4 linked regions of the Drosophila melanogaster genome follow. The protein of the gene in region 2 interacts with the protein of the main gene of each other region in a pairwise test. Each region holds a gene or a part of one and is shown on either strand. Other genes may lie near its edges.

Evidence for each region.
Region 1: the proteins of GM130 (region 2) and ND-B22 interact in a two-hybrid assay, tested with the Drosophila melanogaster proteins (2 studies listed by BioGRID).
Region 3: the proteins of GM130 (region 2) and Rab30 interact in a two-hybrid assay, tested with the Drosophila melanogaster proteins (one study listed by BioGRID).
Region 4: the proteins of GM130 (region 2) and Rab1 interact in a two-hybrid assay, tested with the Drosophila melanogaster proteins (one study listed by BioGRID).

What each region holds. Positions count from the first base shown.
Region 1 is NT_033779.5:13,369,603-13,372,946, reverse strand, and holds ND-B22 (NADH dehydrogenase (ubiquinone) B22 subunit), read left to right. Parts: upstream 1-1,920; 5' UTR 1,921-2,007; coding exon 2,008-2,105; intron 2,106-2,183; coding exon 2,184-2,323; intron 2,324-2,382; coding exon 2,383-2,579; 3' UTR 2,580-2,844; downstream 2,845-3,344. Other genes in the region: Bdp1 (B double prime 1), read left to right, coding at 1-252, 311-639, 694-1,443; CG31855 (uncharacterized protein), read right to left, coding at 3,217-3,344.
Region 2 is NT_033778.4:22,124,016-22,129,450, reverse strand, and holds GM130 (golgi matrix protein 130 kD), read left to right. Parts: upstream 1-1,948; 5' UTR 1,949-2,088; coding exon 2,089-2,145; intron 2,146-2,246; coding exon 2,247-3,242; intron 3,243-3,297; coding exon 3,298-3,810; intron 3,811-3,869; coding exon 3,870-4,691; 3' UTR 4,692-4,884; downstream 4,885-5,435. Other genes in the region: NtR, read right to left, coding at 1-497, 570-757, 826-978, 1,038-1,169, 1,275-1,596; mei-S332 (meiotic from via salaria 332), read right to left, coding at 5,187-5,435.
Region 3 is NT_033779.5:7,029,935-7,034,337, forward strand, and holds Rab30 (Rab30), read right to left. Parts: upstream 2,673-4,403; 5' UTR 2,303-2,672; intron 2,244-2,302; 5' UTR 2,172-2,243; coding exon 1,500-2,171; 3' UTR 559-1,499; downstream 1-558. Other genes in the region: caper, read left to right, coding at 3,031-3,084.
Region 4 is NT_033777.3:21,265,489-21,270,691, reverse strand, and holds Rab1 (Rab1), read left to right. Parts: upstream 1-1,631; 5' UTR 1,632-1,898; coding exon 1,899-1,921; intron 1,922-2,897; exon of another isoform or gene 2,898-2,951; coding exon 2,952-3,072; exon of another isoform or gene 3,073-3,134; coding exon 3,135-3,182; exon of another isoform or gene 3,183-3,238; coding exon 3,239-3,466; exon of another isoform or gene 3,467-3,546; coding exon 3,547-3,744; 3' UTR 3,745-4,663; downstream 4,664-5,203. Other genes in the region: Idi (Isopentenyl-diphosphate delta isomerase), read right to left, coding at 1-105, 162-476; AP-2sigma (adaptor protein complex 2, sigma subunit), read left to right, coding at 739-741, 798-947, 1,008-1,283.

The sequences.
Region 1 (3,344 bases), on a different chromosome or scaffold from region 2:
CCATGGTGCCCAAACAGTCGGTGACGACCATCAAGGATGAGTCTGGTGGCGATGATTCCAAGCCCGCAGTCAGTCAACTATTGGAACCCAAGGGAGAGTCCACATCCGCTATGTTAGTGCCTCAGCTAAAGCTTGATGCCAATGGCGAGATGATCATTGATGAGAAAACATTGGAGATCGAAACCACGGCCGAGGTGGAGGCCCGCAAGGTGCTAGCCAACTCATCGTTAATCCTAATGGACGAGACTACGGGTGCGCCGCAGAGTTAATACATAAAAGTTGAATACTTAACGAATTTTATACTTTGCAGGAGATAATGGATTCTATAAACGCCACAAGCGCACGCCATACTGGACCTCCGATGAGACCGTCCGCTTCTACCGCAGCCTGCAGATCATTGGGACGGACTTCTCGCTGATGTGCCAAATGTTTCCAACACGTTCACGTCGGGATCTAAAGCTGAAGTACAAAAAGGAAGAGCGAACCAATGGGCAGCTCATAAACAAAGCACTCCTCTATCCTAAGGCCTTCAACATTCAGGAGCTCAAGGATCAACTGGAAGAGGAGGACCGCGAAAGGGAAGAAAATGATCGCAAGTGGAGGGAAATCGCACGAGCTCTTCCGGGAAACCCTAAGAAGGTAAATAATTTGTAGCTGACTGTAATCACCATTACATTTTTTAATTATATTTAGCGTTCCCGAGTACAGCAGCAAAGCAAGGCCTCAAGGGCACTAAACGATGGTGATGTTGTCTACGAAAACGAGCACGTAACGAGTACAAAGCTCGGCAAGCACGCCTGGGCCAAAAGGCGAAAGGAGTTGGAGACCGATGAGAACGACGGAAGTGCGCCGGCCAAACGTAAGCCAAAGGCTAAGCGACGATCTCCCAAGGTTTCAGTTCCAGCGGCAACGGAAAGCCTGTCTGATGTGGCGGCCATTAAGCAGGAAAAAACGATCAAAACCGAACAAACGAGTAGTCATTTGCCAACGGGGGGAGAACTGCAGGCTGAGCTCAATGGCCTCCTCATGGATGATCCGGTGGAATATGACGTAGATGTAAACAAGCCACGTGATAAAACTATTATCAATATGGATGATGGTACCCTAAGCTATGTCAGCGACGTCGAACCCGCCCCAGAGACGCCCAATCGAAAGGCAGAGACATATTTAATAAACTTCATTGAAGACCAAGATCATGAACTTATAACGCCGGATGACCCCATTCCGCCGTCCACTACCGAACCGGATATCGAACAAATTCTCGCCGAGCTTGCGGAAGGATCTCTGGCTCTCGTCTCGTCCTTGGATCCAGAGCACGAGGATCGTGTGCTCAACGAAATCTACATGCTGGACAAAAAAACGGGCGAGTTGTGCGAAACGCCTCTGAAAATACCAGAGCATATTGTTCAATGCATAATGAATGTTATGCAGCCAGAGGACTAACGACATTTTATATTTATATCTTAAGAGTATTTGTTAACAGTTATAATTTATTAAAGCATTTCGCTAGATGTATTTACAAAATTACTTTCTTGTTCCTCGCAAATTCAAAGGGAATTGCAAAAAATGCAAAAATGGGACTGACTTTCTTGGTTTCTTTAACTATTCCTAAAAAAAATTGTAATTAATATACAATTATAACAGATTTGTCAAAATAGTCTTATTTTATAAATAAAATAGGGTAGCAAGAAGGCTTTTAAGCATTAAAAGTGTTTGGTTATAGGTATCTACTCTAGACAGGATCATTTCGATTTCTTGCAATAACAAAAGCTTGTATAAAATGCAAAGATAGCCATTGCTTTTGTATAGAAAATTTAAATCAAATATATAAATATTTTTTGAATTTCCATTCATTTCAGAGTTGCCGTTCTCTAAAATTATTTTTCGCTTCGCAACACATATTTTCAGGCGCAGGGCTTTAGAGCACTGGACTTTTGACAGCTGTTGTTGTTGTTGCCTCGGCTGCGGTAGCAAATTAATACAATTTAACCAATATAGTAAAAAACGATGGCCCAAGTTCCCTTGGCAATCGTCTCGCACAAGCGCCAGGTGTGCAGCCTGTACAAGCGAGCACTGCGCAACTTAGAGTCGTGGTACGACCGACGGTGAGTGCACTCGGCGCAGAATTCCCAAATATTATATAATGAGCAAGTGCATCTTGGTTGTTTCTTAATGCCCATCAGCAATGTCTACCGCTACCGCGCTGTGCAGCTGCGTGCTCGCTTCGACGAAAACCGCTCCAAAGATCTGGGCGAGGGCATCCGCCTCCTAGCCTGTGGACAAAGGGAGCTTTTCGAGACAAGGCATTTCCAGCCCCGAAACTGTAAACAAATTGAACGTATGGTCATATGTCTGTGTATCTAACGTGTGTTATCGTTGTAGTTGCCAACAGTGCCGGTGGCTGTGCTTTCGAACGAGAGGTGATTCCGCCCGACTGGGTCCTGGACTACTGGCATCCCCTGGAGAAGGCCCAGTACCCCGAGTACTTTGCCAAGCGGGAGCAGCGCAAGAAGGAGTTTGTGACCTGGTGGGAGAAGCAGTACGGCAAGCCCGACCCCAAGGACCTGGGACACCACTAATCTTAGAGTACCGTAATCAAATCACATCCAATCTTTGTCTTTAAAAGTAAATCTATTGGAACTCACATTATGTGCTATTATAAATGTGTTGTACTGGAATTCAGTCGATCTTCCTTCTGCCAAAATAATTCATTGCCAATTTACAATAATAGTGTATACAATTGGTTATGCAGATCAATTCCCAGATTATAAACGCATTACATTTTAGGTTACAAACTTTGCGAGAAGTACATGTATATTTTCCTAAGGTAAGTCCAAAGAATGGAAAAAAAAATACCGTGATTCATGAACTAGCAGTAACAAAGCTTACAAAATTTTGTACTCGACATTTTATACGAATGATGGTATTTTCTTGCAAAAGGAGGTATGCATATGTTGGTCACAAAAACATTATTTAGCTGTGTTAATTTGGGTACAACTGAAATCTAAAGAAATACTGGGGCTTTCGACCAATGATCAGCGTGATACAAAACTTTGAAAGGACCGTTCGACTGCAACTCCTTTGTACTTAGTATATTTTATTTAATATATATGTATATGAGTGTAAATGAATGGTGGCGGCTGCGTGTTCGCTCGGGATAGTAGTGCTGCGTGGGGATGTCCATCGGGTGCTTGGCTTAAGGTCCTGCCGCCCAGCTCAGTTCAGCTCGTTGGGGTCCAAGCGCGGGCGCTTTTTGCTGTTGGTGCTGTTGCCGTTGGGCGTGGAGCTGTTGCCGTTGCCATTTCCCGAATCGCCGCCGTGCTCCCTCTTCCGCTGAAGCGTCT
Region 2 (5,435 bases):
CTCCGATTCCTTTGCAGCGTGAACTCAATTGCCACATCGCCGGTCATTTTCTGCATCATTCCCTTGGGGTTGTATCGCCTTTGCGAATCGTTCTCCACCAGCACCACGGACATTTGCGTGAACGACCAGCCGGATGGCGTGTTCACGTGCTCATTGGGCGCAATCGGCTTGCGCTGATCATCGTAGATTAGCGCCACATTCTCCTGCCCCTCCTGGCCATTGAGACCCAGCTCGATGTCGCAAGTCACTCGCTCGCTTGGCCAGTTTCGGGCACTGTCCACACACCAACTGGCCAGCTGGAGGTTTTGAGCGTACAGGGTGATGCTTCCGTTGGCGTAGACCATCAGCTCATAGGATTGGAGGACCTGACCCATGGATTGCAGGGCGCCGTTGAGGACGTTCATATGCGGCTTCCATATACGAAGGTCAGGATGTTCGAAAGATTCCAGCGAGCCGAAGTCCTCGGGTTTCCAGACAAGACGACTATCCCTCCAGTGCTGCATGGATAGGCGAATGTATCTTTACTGTTTCACACTAAATATTTGCATTTCGAGCTTATCTTTCATTACCATCATCATGTGCATGCGGGTCTGAAGCAAGGAACTGGTTTGCTCGTAGGCGAGGGAGCGCGTTTGGAAGTGGAACGATATGGAGCTGAGATTAGCCGGCATGCTTGCATTTTCCGCCTGGATATTCAGATGGCTTAGCAGTTTTTCCGTCTTCGTTTCCTCCTTCACTATCGGTGCAATTTCCGACCCTGAAATGGGTCAGTTTTAGAACATACTTACAGATATAGACTTATAGCTTACTATATATCATCCTTACCATAACCATCGAAGCCACAGTCGTAAAACCACCGCGCCGTATTGGAACCAAAGGAGCTGAAACTCAGATAGTTGATGACCAGCGGTGCTTCATCGATGAACTGCAGCAGGGGCTCCTTCTTGAAGCCGGGTATGTAAACAAACAGCTCGCCATCTGGAAATATACTGTGCGTTGGAGGGGCAGGGAATACCCGATAAGATGGGGGAACTCACTCTGGTTTTGGACAATCTCAATTGGCGTCGGGTCGTACAGCGATACCAAGTTCGGCTCTTGATTCGTGGCCACCCGCCTCATTCCCATAGCATTCCGGATTGCGGAAAACGTATTTCCGCCGGCTCCTATCACTGCAAGCGGAATAAAGATATCAATTGAATATTTAGGTAGGGTTCCACTAGAAAGAGCTCATTGAAATGCTGGAATTAAAACTGAATATTATTGATTTCACCCACCGATCTCGTAAACGCGATCATTTGGGCGCGGGTGATTCGTCACCGAGAGCAGGATGTGCGCATCCATGGCGGTCAGGACGTAGAATTTCAAGTGCAGCCGCTCTCCGGCCTTCCTGTTGTTGTTGCTCAGCTCGCGCAGCATGTAGAACCTCCGGTAGCCATAGCCCGTATTCGGAACGGAGTAGGTTTCGCAGGAATCCAGCTGGGCGAAGCTCACGTTGAATCTCGTTGACAGTTGTCCCGATTCCGCTGGGTCAATCAATATCAGTAGCAGGCACAGGCAGCAGTATGTTGCCAAGGAGCCCTTGATAAGGTTGTACATCGTATCGACCTGGACTTCTACTCCTCACAGCGGCTTAACTACGACTGAATTAGGAAGCCGACTTAAGTGAAGTGATAAGAAACGATGAACTAATGGTTGTTTCGATAAATAATACTGTTTTTTTTTTTTAATTTGAAGAGTATTTCTCAAAACCTCCTCGCATGAACGTTTATGCAAGTAGAGTGAAATTTCTTAATTGTACATAATCTCTGTTTATTGAAAACGGATACGCATATATACGTGTTCGATTTTAAAAATGAAAAAAAAGCTAAAAATGCGCGCCAATATATAACTGTGCTTTCCCTGCCGCCTAGTGTACCCGTTCGCGCGGCATTTTGGCTCTAAACGCGTACGGTCATACTGAACTTCAGACCTGTTATCAACATTCAGAAATTTCCACTTTTGCCTAGCTTAATTTACATTTGTTGGCTCGCCTTCCGAACCGAGCTTACTCCAGGTGTGGCAAAGGTACCGCTGCTGACCCCGAAGGACATGCCCGATGACACGCAGGATGCCAAGGCGCAGAAGTTGGCCGCGGCAAGGAAAAAGGTGCGACAACCAGTGCCACACACAATTGTTTTGCTCTTGTGACGTGGACACATATTGGCCGACTAATATTGATTTTGTTTAACACGCTTCTGTGGACACAGCTGAAGGAGTACCAGCAGCGCGCCAGCAACAACAATGGGCAGCCGGGAGCAGAGGAGCCGGTGGCTGCCACCACGCAATCGCACTCGTCCACTGTGAGCATATCCAGCAATCTGTCGGAACGGTCAGACAGCGAGATAAATGTGAACGGTGGAGGAGCAGGTGGGACGCAGCCGCCGGAGCAGTCTGCCCTGCCCACAGCCGCTTCTTATTTTGCCCAAAACGAGTCGGAACACAATGGTGGACTGGCAGATGCCTCTAGCTTGCAGGCCATCCAGGTGATCATCGCTGAAAAGGCCCAGCTCAATGCGGAGCTGACCAAGGTTCGCCTGGCTTGCCGGGAGCGTGAGCTAGAGCTGGAGGAGCTTCGCATCCTCAAGGATCAGAATCAATTGCGTCTGGAGCAGCTACAACAGCACTGCCAGGATCAACAGTCGACCGGTGAGCAGCAGCGACAGCAGTACGCGCAACTCCAGGCACAACTGCTACAATCGCAGGCACAAATCAAGGACCAACAGTCGCATCTCAACGAACTAGAGGCCCAGCTAAAGCAGAGCAACCAGCATCAAGAGGAACTGCAGCAACAGCTTTCCCAAAAATCGAACGAACTCGAGATGGCGCAGCTGAAGCTGCGGCAGCTCTCAGACGAGTCTAGCGTCACCACAGACAACCGAGTGGAGTCGCTGGTGCAAACACAATACATGTACGAGCAACAGATACGCGACCTCCAAGCGATGGTGGGTCAACTAACGCAGGACAAGGAGCAGGCAGCTGGTCAGTATCAAAACTATGTGCAGCATCAGAGTGGCGAGATCGCCAAGCTCAACGAACGAAACACAGAACTCTCAGAGGTACTGAACTCACTGAGGGAGCGAGAACGCCAGCTTGTGGAGCACGTGGGCGCCCTGGAGCGGGATATACAAAAGAACATCAGCCTGCAGGCCCAATTTAAAGAGGCCAGTCAAGTGCAGCCATCCAAGGAAGAAACCAGCGAGCAGGTAAGTAAGCCAAAAAAATATGGAAAACCTGTTTAATCTCCTAGTTCAATTTCAGAAAGCCTTAAAAGATGAACTGGCTGTCTTGAAAGAGCAGATCGAAAACTTCGAGTTTGAGCGCCACGAATTCCAGCTGAAGATCAAGTCGCAGGACGATCAGCTGCAGTTAAAGAACTCGGCTTTAGACGAGTTGGAAAAGCAACTCGAACGCTTGCAAGCTGAGCAGCCCGATCAGTCCAAGCTGTTGGCCACCATGGAGTCAGACAAAGTGGCCGCATCGCGTGCCCTAACCCAGAATGTAGAGATGAAAAACCAGTTGGACGAACTGCAGCAGCGATTTGTTCAGTTGACAAACGACAAAGCCGAGCTGGTCATCCGCTTGGATTCAGAAGAGTTTGCCAACCGAGAAATCCGCCAGAACTACAACAGCATGGAGCAAAAGCTTCAAGCAAATGAGGAGCGCTTTAAGTTCAAGGATGAGGAAATGATTAGACTATCGCACGAGAACGTGGAACTACAACGTCAGCAGTTAATGTTGCAACAGCAGCTGGACCGTCTCAGGCATTATGAGGTGGGTTGGACTGGGATTAAAATTTAACTGACTTTATATCCCATTATCATTTCTTTCAGGCAAAAGCTTATCACGCCGGTGAGGAAACCGAAAAAGAGAATGGAGCAGATGCACCGGAAAACGAAGCAGAGGAAGCGAAGGAAGTTGGTCTTTTGCATAATCATTCGCACGATCACTCTCATCAGCATTCCGACGGTCATTGTCATGATAATGACCACGATCATTCCCATGAACATAACCATCATAATGCTGGTGATCATGGTCATCCACATGATCATCCGCACGATCACACACATGATCATTCACATAGCCATCCACACGATCATCAGCATGATCATCCACATGATCACGGCCAGAACCACGCCCACAGACAAGCAGCTGAAACGCTGCCCACCGCCGAGGCCGTGGAACGCTTGCAATCGCGTTTCACCACACTGATCAGCCAGGTCGCCGACTTGACGGAGGAGAAGCACAGCCTGGAGCATCTGGTGCTCCAGCTGCAGAGCGAAACCGAAACGATTGGCGAGTACATTGCCCTCTATCAAACGCAGAGGCGCATGCTAAAGCAGCGTGAGTACGAGAAGGCCGCCCAAATGCGTCTCTTGCAAGCGGAGCGAGAGCAGCTGCGCGAGAAGATTGAGGCACTAAACAAGCTGGTGGTCAGTTTGGGCGTGGAGCTACCCGCAGATGCCGCCCAGGCAAAGCAACCAGAAGCGGCCGCAGGTAGCGAACACACTCCTGGCGAAGGTGAAAACTCGCAACAGATCATCAACAAGATACAGGACATTATCAGCGAGATCAAGGAGAACACGGAGCAGCCAAGCCACAACCATGCAGGAGACCATCTCAACTGTTGTATGGGCAAGTTCGAGGTAGTCTAAAAGAAGTGCAATTATCGCCTACCTACGTATAATCATTACCCTTTTGCTACTGTATTTAATTGTAATTGTAATTGTACTTTGTTCTTCAGAGTCTTTTGTAAATGTTTCCAACAACTTTGTGCGAATAAACGTAGTTTGCATCTAAGAGGAATCTATAAAATGAGTTCCCCTAAAAGCGTATTAACAAATAATTAATTGAAACGTTGTTTTATTCACAAATGAACATGTAAAAATTAGACGTACTTTTAAATTCCTATTGGCATCTTTGGGTGATGATGATGATGGAGTGTCTTCCTTCCGATAGCGCTGGATGAACTGAATATGCCCTCTATTGCAGGCAAAAAGTAATCCGATGTCAGCTTTTAGTCTATAAATTAAACTTATCAGGGCCTGACGATTTAAAAATATTATTCATATTAAAAATGGTAAAAAGTGGTATTGAAAACCAATGAAATTACAGAAACAACATTAAAGCCTATTAAAAAATTCGTCTATCTACTTTTTGGCCTTGGCCTTGCCTTTCGAGCCATTGCGCAACTTGTTCTTCAGACTTGGCTCCACCAAACTGGTGGGCCTGCAGCTTCTACTCGGCCTTGCGCTGTTGTTGCAGAAAGAACTAGACATATCCGTATTTTCTGATTTCTTATTAGCCGCAGTTCGGCTTCTAGTTCTTATAGATGGCATTTCCTCGACGAGAAAGGATTTCGGAGTGCTGGTGCTTCCGGCCATTTTGCCTATCCCATT
Region 3 (4,403 bases), on a different chromosome or scaffold from region 2:
ATTCAAAGCTCTGCAAGCGTTTTATTTAAAAAAAAAAAACCACTTGTTTCGAGTGTCCCAACCCTAATAATCTGATAAGAGATGCATTTGCAGTATATTAAAAAACTTTATTTTCCCACAATGAAAATTCGATCGGCCGATTTTTAACTCTTAAAGTAATGAAGAAAAACATTCTGTGGGCTAAAGCACTTAATAATATTTGCAGTACCTATAACTTAAGGTGGAAGAGCTATTTGAACTCAGAATCGGAGTGGAACGATTTTTGCACGAAATTATTAAGGTGGTTAGTTAGATCCTGAAATCGATGGGATTTTTTTTTTTTATATGCATTATTGTACAAAATACTGTTTTAAAAACATTTGTAATTATTTATCGGCTAAAAGTTTACATTCCAATTATTGTGATATTTATATAATAACAAGATATATATTGCAGCTTTTTTAATCAACAACTTTTTCCGCATTCGTAAAAAGTTGATATACTTAATCAACATATTTTATATTTTACTCAGCTGTAAATTAATCAGCTGTAAATTAATTAAACACTCTTTTCCATTTTACTTGTATTTAGTTTATTTTTTATTCAGCTTTCTGGTCTATTCATAGTTTCTAATTCTTAATTTTTGGAATGTCATAAAATCACCTTAAACACTATTACGAATATCATTTAAAAATTGCATTACCAAAGATTGCACATTAATCGTAAAAATATGTAAAAATAATTGCAAATAAATATGCATAAATTGTGTATGTATACAAAAAATGTAATGTATAAAACATGCAATACTCCTTGGGAATTAATTGAAATAAACTAAATGGTGAGTCTAGCATTTTTGATATCATAAATTCTTCGTAGCATTGGCTGTGATGCTCACTTGGTAAACGATCCATAATCAGATCAATACATACGTCTATATAATACAAATCAAGAAAATCAGGCGGTCTTAAACACCTCCAATGGAGTTCTTGTAACACAAATATTTAGCATCCTTAGTCATTGACAGCTAGTTTCCCATAGGATCTTAATCGTGATAAATAGTAAATTAGTTTTTACAATCAATTTCTTTCTGTAAACCAAAGGGGATACAGAAATAATCAATTTTTTTAGTCTTGTAATTAAAATAATAAACCCTTAAGCATGAACAGAATATCACGATAACAGATAACAGATTAGCTGCACAGTTTCCAGATCCGTTTGCACATTGTACTTTAAATGTTTGTTGTTATCGTAGTTTAGTGAAAGCGAAGAGAATTGCTCTAAATACCTTTACATTTAAAGGTATTTGAAGCCGATGTGTTTTAACAATCTAATAGGAATCGTTACAAAGACAAAGGCAAACGATCACGTCATAATCATGCTTATAAAAACAAAATTTAACATATGTATGTATGTGTTAGAATGTGGGAGCATTGTGGTAATAAAAGATAAATGGAATATCACGATTAGTCCTTAACAAGTTACAGATTAGCTGCTCAGCTTCCAGTTCAGTTTGCAGCTGCTCAGCCGCCTTGACTAGAGTTGGAGCCGCCGCTGGCGAGTCCGCCACAGCAATTGCTCTGCGCTGCCTTGGCACTGAAGCTCCCCAGTCCGATGGAGCTGCCCTCCGACTGACGCTGGGCGGCTGCCGCTGCGGCCGAACTACTGCCATCCTTGCTCCTTGCCTGACCAATCAATTCGGCGGCAATCTCGTAGAACAGACGCTCTACATTCTCTGCCTCCTTGGCGGATGTCTCCAAGAAGTACATGTCATGCTGCTTGGCGAACTCTTCGCCAATCTGGGTGGGTATCTCTCGATCATCCCTGTCCGTCTTGTTACCCACCAGGATTTTGAGTACCTTGGAGTTGGCATACTCCTGGATCTCGCGCAGCCAGTCCGGCAGGCAGTCAAATGTGGGCTGGCAGCTGATGTCGTACACCAGGATCAAGGCGTGAGCCGATCGATAGTAGCTTTGCGTGATGGATCGGAACCGCTCCTGGCCGGCGGTGTCCCAGATTTGTAGCTTGATCTTCTCGCCCTCCACCTCCACGGTCTTAATCATGAAATCCACACCAATGGTGGCACCCTGGCCAGGTGGAAATAGACCCTGAGTAAAGCGGCGCACTAGGCATGTTTTTCCAACACCAGCATTGCCCACCAGGACGATTTTGAACAGGAACTTGTAGTCCTCCATTGGGGATGTTGCCAAAAATGGGTTGGTTTTGGGGTTTTTGAGTCGCTGGGTGTGGGCAAGTGTGTGTGTGCTCTGCGAAAGTAGACGAAAGTTAGTCGGAGCTTAGACACACCTAGTCAGCGACGCGTAACGATTATACTTTGCTGGCTGGTGGTGGTTCGTTGGATCAGCTTACGCCATCCCCAGCGAAGACAACGCCTCTCACCTGTGGCTCACCTGGGGCTCTATCACTAGCTGGCCAACGGCTGTTCGCCTTGTTTTTTGGCTTATTTGGCTAAAAGATGATGACTCAACAGCAGCTGTAGATGCTTGTTACTCGCTTATCTATGCGAATCGGCCCCAAATCTATTCAGCAGGCTTTCGGCCAGGTTGACTATGCTTGCAAATTTGTAATCAACTGGTTGCATGCTGCCGCATTAATTGCCAGCCTTAATTTTGCTTATGTTTACCAACAGAATTTTACTGTATTTCGACGTGATGGTATTTGATTAGAGATGTGACATCAATTCCCATAGCAATACTTAACGATGTTTTTCTCGGTATCGATAGATCGACGTTTTGCAAAGCACTTAAAAACTTTTTGAAGTACGGTCACTAGTTATCGATTGTTCATCATCGATAAGTTCTGTGACAACCCTGAAGCCGAAAACAAGCAGCCACGCTAGAGAAGAAAATCTGGTTGAAAATTGGCAAAAATTCTAATTAAAAAATCGCAAAAGCCAAAAGAGAAGTTCGTAAGTCGTCCTACGAATTCCGCTGTGCGTCCCCACCACATTTTGATTTCTCCAAACGTGCCAGACACCGAGCAGGGGACTTTTTTCACGGAGCACCCCGAATTGCAGCGAAGTAATTTTCGAATATGGCCGAGGACTTTGATGTGGAGGCGATGCTCGAGGCGCCGTACATGAAAAACGTAAGTTCCCAAAGGCCGGATAACAGCCAACTATCGTTTAAATTAAGTCCCACTGGCTTTTGTGCCCACCCAAGGCAATTATTTTGCTGTGCAAAAACAAAATGAAAAAAAATAGAAAAACAGTTACTTCATATGTATGTTTGTATACTTCTTTTCCCACATAGACACCCACAGGCGTACGTGCATTTTGTGTTTGTATGTAAGTCGTCTTCGTCTCGGGCACACACACACACACACACACATGTGCAGTCGATGCATACTAAGTGGTCTTAAATCGATTTTTAGCCTAATTTTGCTGTTTAATAAAAAATCGGCAGCCGGAACGCCAATCTGCGTGCTGATTTTCGTAATATTTTTTTTTCACACTAGACTGCGTTCATACAGAAAAGTGTTTCGCCAACGGAAAATCTGTCTGTGTGTGGGTTTGTGTTGTTTATTTTCCTACGCGGCATTTGATACAGTCGTGTACTGCAGTGGGTGTACAGTGGGGTGCAAAATATTTGGCAGGGCTGCAATAGCAACTGAAAACGTTTAACAAGTATCAGGGAAACTTAAAGGATTGAATTACTAACAAGACAGTCATGATTCTGTAAACTATAAAAAACAACGTATTTTAGTGATATTTTATATCTCTTACTAAACTTGGACTTTAATCTGTATTATTGACTGAAACGGATTTTGTAGCAATTGGTATTCCTCTTATCTTATCTGGGCAAACCATCTGTAATAATATTTATTAATAGGTTAAAACTCAGCCATATGAAATCATACTTGAAAAATCTCAATATATTATAAAATAATTTGTAGGTTAGCAAACCACATTTTTCCGTAGCATTTACAAATGCAATTTTCGGTGTGTTGTGGAATAAATCTAATAAAATTATCATTAATTAACCCAAAACCAAAATCAGCATTATTGTCCGACAGCTCGCCAAGGTTTTAGTCAATGTAGTAGTCTATGACATCCAGCTAAAGTTGGAAATTAATTGAATTGAATTCTTTCGCCCCAAACCAACAACTCATGAGTTCAACGCTCCTATTTCTTCCTATCTGCTGTCTCACTAAGAACTACCGACAACTACCCACACACAATCACCATTAAAAAATACAAAAAAAAAAAAAAAAAAAAAAACCAAACAAAAATGCTAGAATAATTCTTAAGGGTGAAATGTCTTTGCAGAGAATCGAATAAGCTCAATATTGTTGCTAGAGATTGTTTTGGTCATTCTAAACACAAAAAGCTGGAGACCATTTGGTAAGTTTTGAATGTGCCAGAAGCTGCGAAAAAAAACCAATTACAAAATTACAAAACAATAAAA
Region 4 (5,203 bases), on a different chromosome or scaffold from region 2:
AGCGGCCACACGGATGCCCTGTGCGTTGCGCTCCTGACGTTCCTGTTCGATTTCGTAAAGCGGATGGCTGCAGCACGCGTTGGTGTAGGTGTTTGGGAAGGTTATCTAAGGATACAGAGGATTATGGACCTTGTAATAAGGGGATTACCCTTTAATTTCACCTTGTGAGACGATCGCTTCTGCACTAGCATCTCTCCCTGAGAATTGAAGAGAAAAACACTGAAGGCGCGATGGAGCTTAACATCATTCGTCTCTGGATGCACACGGTGGCAGTCTGCCTTAGAGGCGGCCCCAATGGCTTGGTCGTTGGCGTCAACCAGGATGCACTGTTCCTTTAGAGCGTGAGCCTGCAGAGGATCGTGTACGGCGAACTCCGTGGGCACCTGGCGCTGATGTTTCTGGCCCACCGCTGTCGTTGAGCAACCGCGCAGCCAGGATACGCGGGGCAACAGGAGATTCAAGCGAGAGGCCAACATTTTTGGTAAATGACTAGTTTGGAGTGGTGGCCAAAACAAATATGAAAGTGAAACTTCGTAATACAGCGCGCGGGTCTGCCAACTCGTTTGCTTTCTGCGCGAACTGTTTGCAACACTGACGAGGTAACAGCTGTTCCGGAACAGTAGTGGTAGCCCTGGTCCCAGTGATACACAATTTGCTCATAATCAGTTTTTCGCCCCCATTCTCGAAACAAAAAAAGTTGTAAATAAGCAGGAAACGGTTTAACCAATTTCCCGAAAAATGGTAAGCAACTAGCCAGCTATAAGCTTAGACCCCTATTTGACCTTCCATTCGCCCAGATACGATTCATACTTATACAAAACCGAGCTGGAAAAACTCGCCTGGCCAAGTGGTATATGAACTTCGATGACGACGAGAAGCAGAAACTGATTGAGGAGGTGCATGCCGTGGTCACAGTGCGCGATGCCAAGCACACCAACTTTGTGGAGGTGGGATCGAGTCCATATGTTCTTTTGAATCACCCTTTTATCACACTTTTGCCTTTGTAGTTCCGCAACTTCAAGATCGTCTACCGACGCTATGCGGGTCTGTACTTCTGCATCTGCGTGGACGTAAACGACAACAACCTGTGCTATCTGGAGGCCATTCACAACTTCGTGGAGGTGCTCAACGAATACTTCCATAATGTGTGCGAGCTGGATCTGGTCTTCAACTTCTACAAGGTGTACAGTGTGGTGGACGAGATGTTCCTGGCGGGCGAGATCCGGGAGACCTCGCAGACGAAGGTGCTCAAGCAGCTGCTCACGCTAAATTCGCTGGAGTAGCGGCCCAATTCATACATATGTATATCGGATCTGCCAGATGCATTCCCCCAGGCGCTACACCCGCCTATCGAATCTTCTTTCATATACTATTACGCGTATTATTATTATTATCTTTAATGTGTTCTCTATGCAAACACTCAAATGTTAAAGGCCGTGTTTAGAAACAAATGATGTACCATAAGAGATTGTATGCAAAAGTTAAGTATTTTTGTTTTTATATGGGGTGTGTTAGGGGTCATTTGGCGATAATCCATATATTTTCTTCTCTGGTTCCGCCCACTCACCTCCGTAGACAAGATAATGTGTAGCCCTGGTTGGAAGAGGGCCCCGCGCATTTTCCAACACTGCCGCTAATGCCACTTCGTCATTTTTTCAGTCGCCATTGTTCTCGTTCTCGGCCGTCGAATTTGTGGAAATAAACGTATTTCCCATTTAAATTCGCTGCAATAATTACAATAGCGAACTGCAAAACACAACACAAGCCGAGTGCGTGTCGATTTCCAGTATTTCGGAACGCGCAAATCAAATAAAAACACTCTGAACAGCAGCCAGTCCAGGGCCAGAAATCGAATATTTGTTCGTGGCAAATATATAATCTTGTGAAAAAGCCAGAAAATGTCATCTGTGAATCCGGAATAGTAAGTCGTCACACGTAATTATGCGCAGTTATCTGGAGTTAAAACAGTGACTGGGCTTCCACTTCCTTTTCTGGCCTTCGAAAATAGTTTCTTTTATTTTTTCTGCGACGTCATTTCTGCTACGTTTCATTCCCATTCATTATCGAGCAGCCCCACTCCACTCCCTTTTGCCCTCGTTGGCAACTCCAAAAAAACAGACCATTTGCTAAAAACAAAATACACACTCGGACCTAACAACCGACCCAATCGAGAAACCATAACCAAAACTGTGTGTTTCAGCTGGATTTCAATGTAGTGCCCACGGGCGAGGCGATGAAAAGCGCGTTCGAAACTCTCATCGGAATCTGCATATGTATAAAGTCCACACATATATACAGCGAGATCCCAGTTGACGGGCCAAATCGCTAGTCGGGCGGATGAGTCACCTGCGTGGAGAGCCTTTCCCACCCCCAGCGCAGTGCTACGTAATCAAAGGCCATTCCAGTGCTACTTAATTGCCGCTCTCACTCAAGGCAATTAAATCTGAACCGATCTTGGTTCGCACTCTCCAGAAAGCCTCCTTCAATAGCCAGCATACATGTGTGCAGAGGATTGGAACACTATCGCATATCATTCAGCAATTGGGGGTTGATGTTGGACATAGCATGATAAGATAAAGCCTAAACCAAACCGGTTTTATGTATATATTAGTATCTGCCCGACTAAACTATGCCCGCAAAACACCTCTCTAAATGTTTTGCTTGAATCAATGATTTCTAACTGATTGTCATCCAACTTATTTCCCTTTAAATGTATACTAAACCTTTTACACTCTGATTTTAAACATTTCGTCTTGTAATATCACTATCGCAAATATGCATCATCAGTTTTATTTAGATTTCTCTGAAGTTTTATATGTTTCAGCATAGGGTCTGAACTATTCCCACATCGCAGCACAAATTTATATCATTAACTATTAAATTAACTATAATTTATTAACTATATAACTATTTTATAACATTAACTATATTAACTATCTCCAAATCCACAGCGATTATCTCTTTAAGTTGCTGCTTATTGGAGACTCGGGCGTTGGAAAGTCCTGTCTTCTGTTGCGATTTGCCGATGACACATATACAGAAAGTTATATCAGCACAATCGGAGTGGATTTCGTAAGCCAACCGGAAATTTGTGAAAATTCTTTATGTCTGACTCATAAACCTTTATCTTGCAGAAAATCAGGACTATAGAACTCGACGGAAAGACCATTAAACTGCAAATCGTAAGCATAAAAACGCCAGAGGCAATCTAGTCCAGAGCTAATTAGTCTGTTTACAGTGGGATACTGCTGGCCAGGAGCGCTTCCGCACCATCACGTCTTCATATTATAGGGGCGCCCATGGCATCATTGTCGTATACGATTGCACGGACCAGGAGTCTTTCAACAATGTGAAGCAGTGGCTGGAGGAGATCGAGCGGTATGCCTGTGAGAATGTCAACAAGTTGCTGGTTGGCAACAAGAGCGACTTGACCACCAAGAAAGTAGTCGACCACACCACAGCTGCGGTGCGTATATTGCTGGTTTAGTCCTGGGAATCATAGATGCACGTATATACTAATCTGGGTCTTTGTTTCCAAAATTCCAGGAGTACGCCGCCCAGTTAGGCATTCCATTCCTTGAAACTTCGGCCAAGAGCGCCACCAACGTTGAGCAGGCCTTCATGACGATGGCGGCGGAGATCAAGAATCGCGTCGGGCCGCCGTCCAGCGCCACTGACAACGCTAGCAAAGTGAAAATCGATCAAGGACGTCCAGTGGAAAACACCAAATCCGGTTGCTGCTGAATAACTCTGATTGTGAATCATTATTTTATTATACAATTAAACAAAATTTAAATATAATAAATTAAAACGGAAACCACACAATAATAATAAAACAAGCGAAACCGATGGCGGATCCACGAAATCGTAATTATAATAACTAATTCTGTAATAACAATAATGGTGAGGAATGACGAGTAGTGCGTTTGTATGATCCTAACCGTGATCCAATTCGATAAACAATTTAAGCAAATATGTATTAGGTACGTAGCCAACCAGCTCCAGATCCAGATCCCGATCCAGACTTCAGACATCCCCAACTAAACTCGAGCAACAAGGACATCGATCCTAATACTAACCGTCACTCTGATTTCCGCAGTTCTGTTCATAAGTAGTGCAAAGCAAGCAAATTCGGTGTAGCAATTAACCTAATATTACTTTAACCTACAATAAGAAGTTACCTATCACAGCAGCGCGAAACCATACCGAAACTAATATGTACTATTAACTACACATTAATTGAGCGCAGGCGACGGCAGGAGCAATTGTACTTGTCCTGTGTCAGCTACTACTTACCACTATGTATACATATGTATGTGTTTAAATTACAAATACAATTTTCTAAACATATTATCTCTAGCGAACGTGATCGTCACTTGAAATTTTATGTAAATCGAACCCAAAACCGAACGAACATTTTTAGATTTAACGTCGAGCGATTGTGTGTTTGAATTATCGTGTGACACAAGGGATTTGTTTAGGCACATAATTAGTGTAATAATGACGACATAGCGATGAAGTTTAATAAAAATTATTGCGTGTGCGTATTTAAATTGCAAGGTTTGGGATCAAGGACACACTTTAGTTTCGGTTTTTACTGTCGCCCGAATTTGAATCTTAATTTGACCTGAGTCTAATAAAATCGATCTGTACCGATGCCTACAAACGACTTGTTTTATTTCTTGACTTTGGAAAGATTGCAAAACTTAAGTGAAGGCCGGAACTGATCCGCACGCACCCAAATACTTGGCAGAAACTTTAAGGGCGAGGCGATTTGTGTAGAATCTTCCTGTTTTTGGAGCAAGTTTTTGGCTGATTTAAAACTTGGATCATGCCAATGTATTTAGAATATATTCAAAGCACTCTATACGAGTGCTTAGATGTTGAAGAATCAGATGTATAAATATATTTCTATTTAAAAATGTTTTATATCTGCATTATTTCACAAATCAGATTAGTTAGTGCACTGCCGTTAAGTTAACTGCACATAGGTAATCAATTTTTGTAAACCTGATACGTTGGCAAATCTTCTAGGATACTTACGAAAAATGTATGTATCCACTTATTTTATAAATTATATACATATATTCGGAAAGATATTTTTCTTTTTAGGACATACTCTACCTTTATGTATTGCATTGTATACATACAGGACTTATTATTTTTTAAAAAGAATAATATGAAAAGGAATTTTAAATTAAAT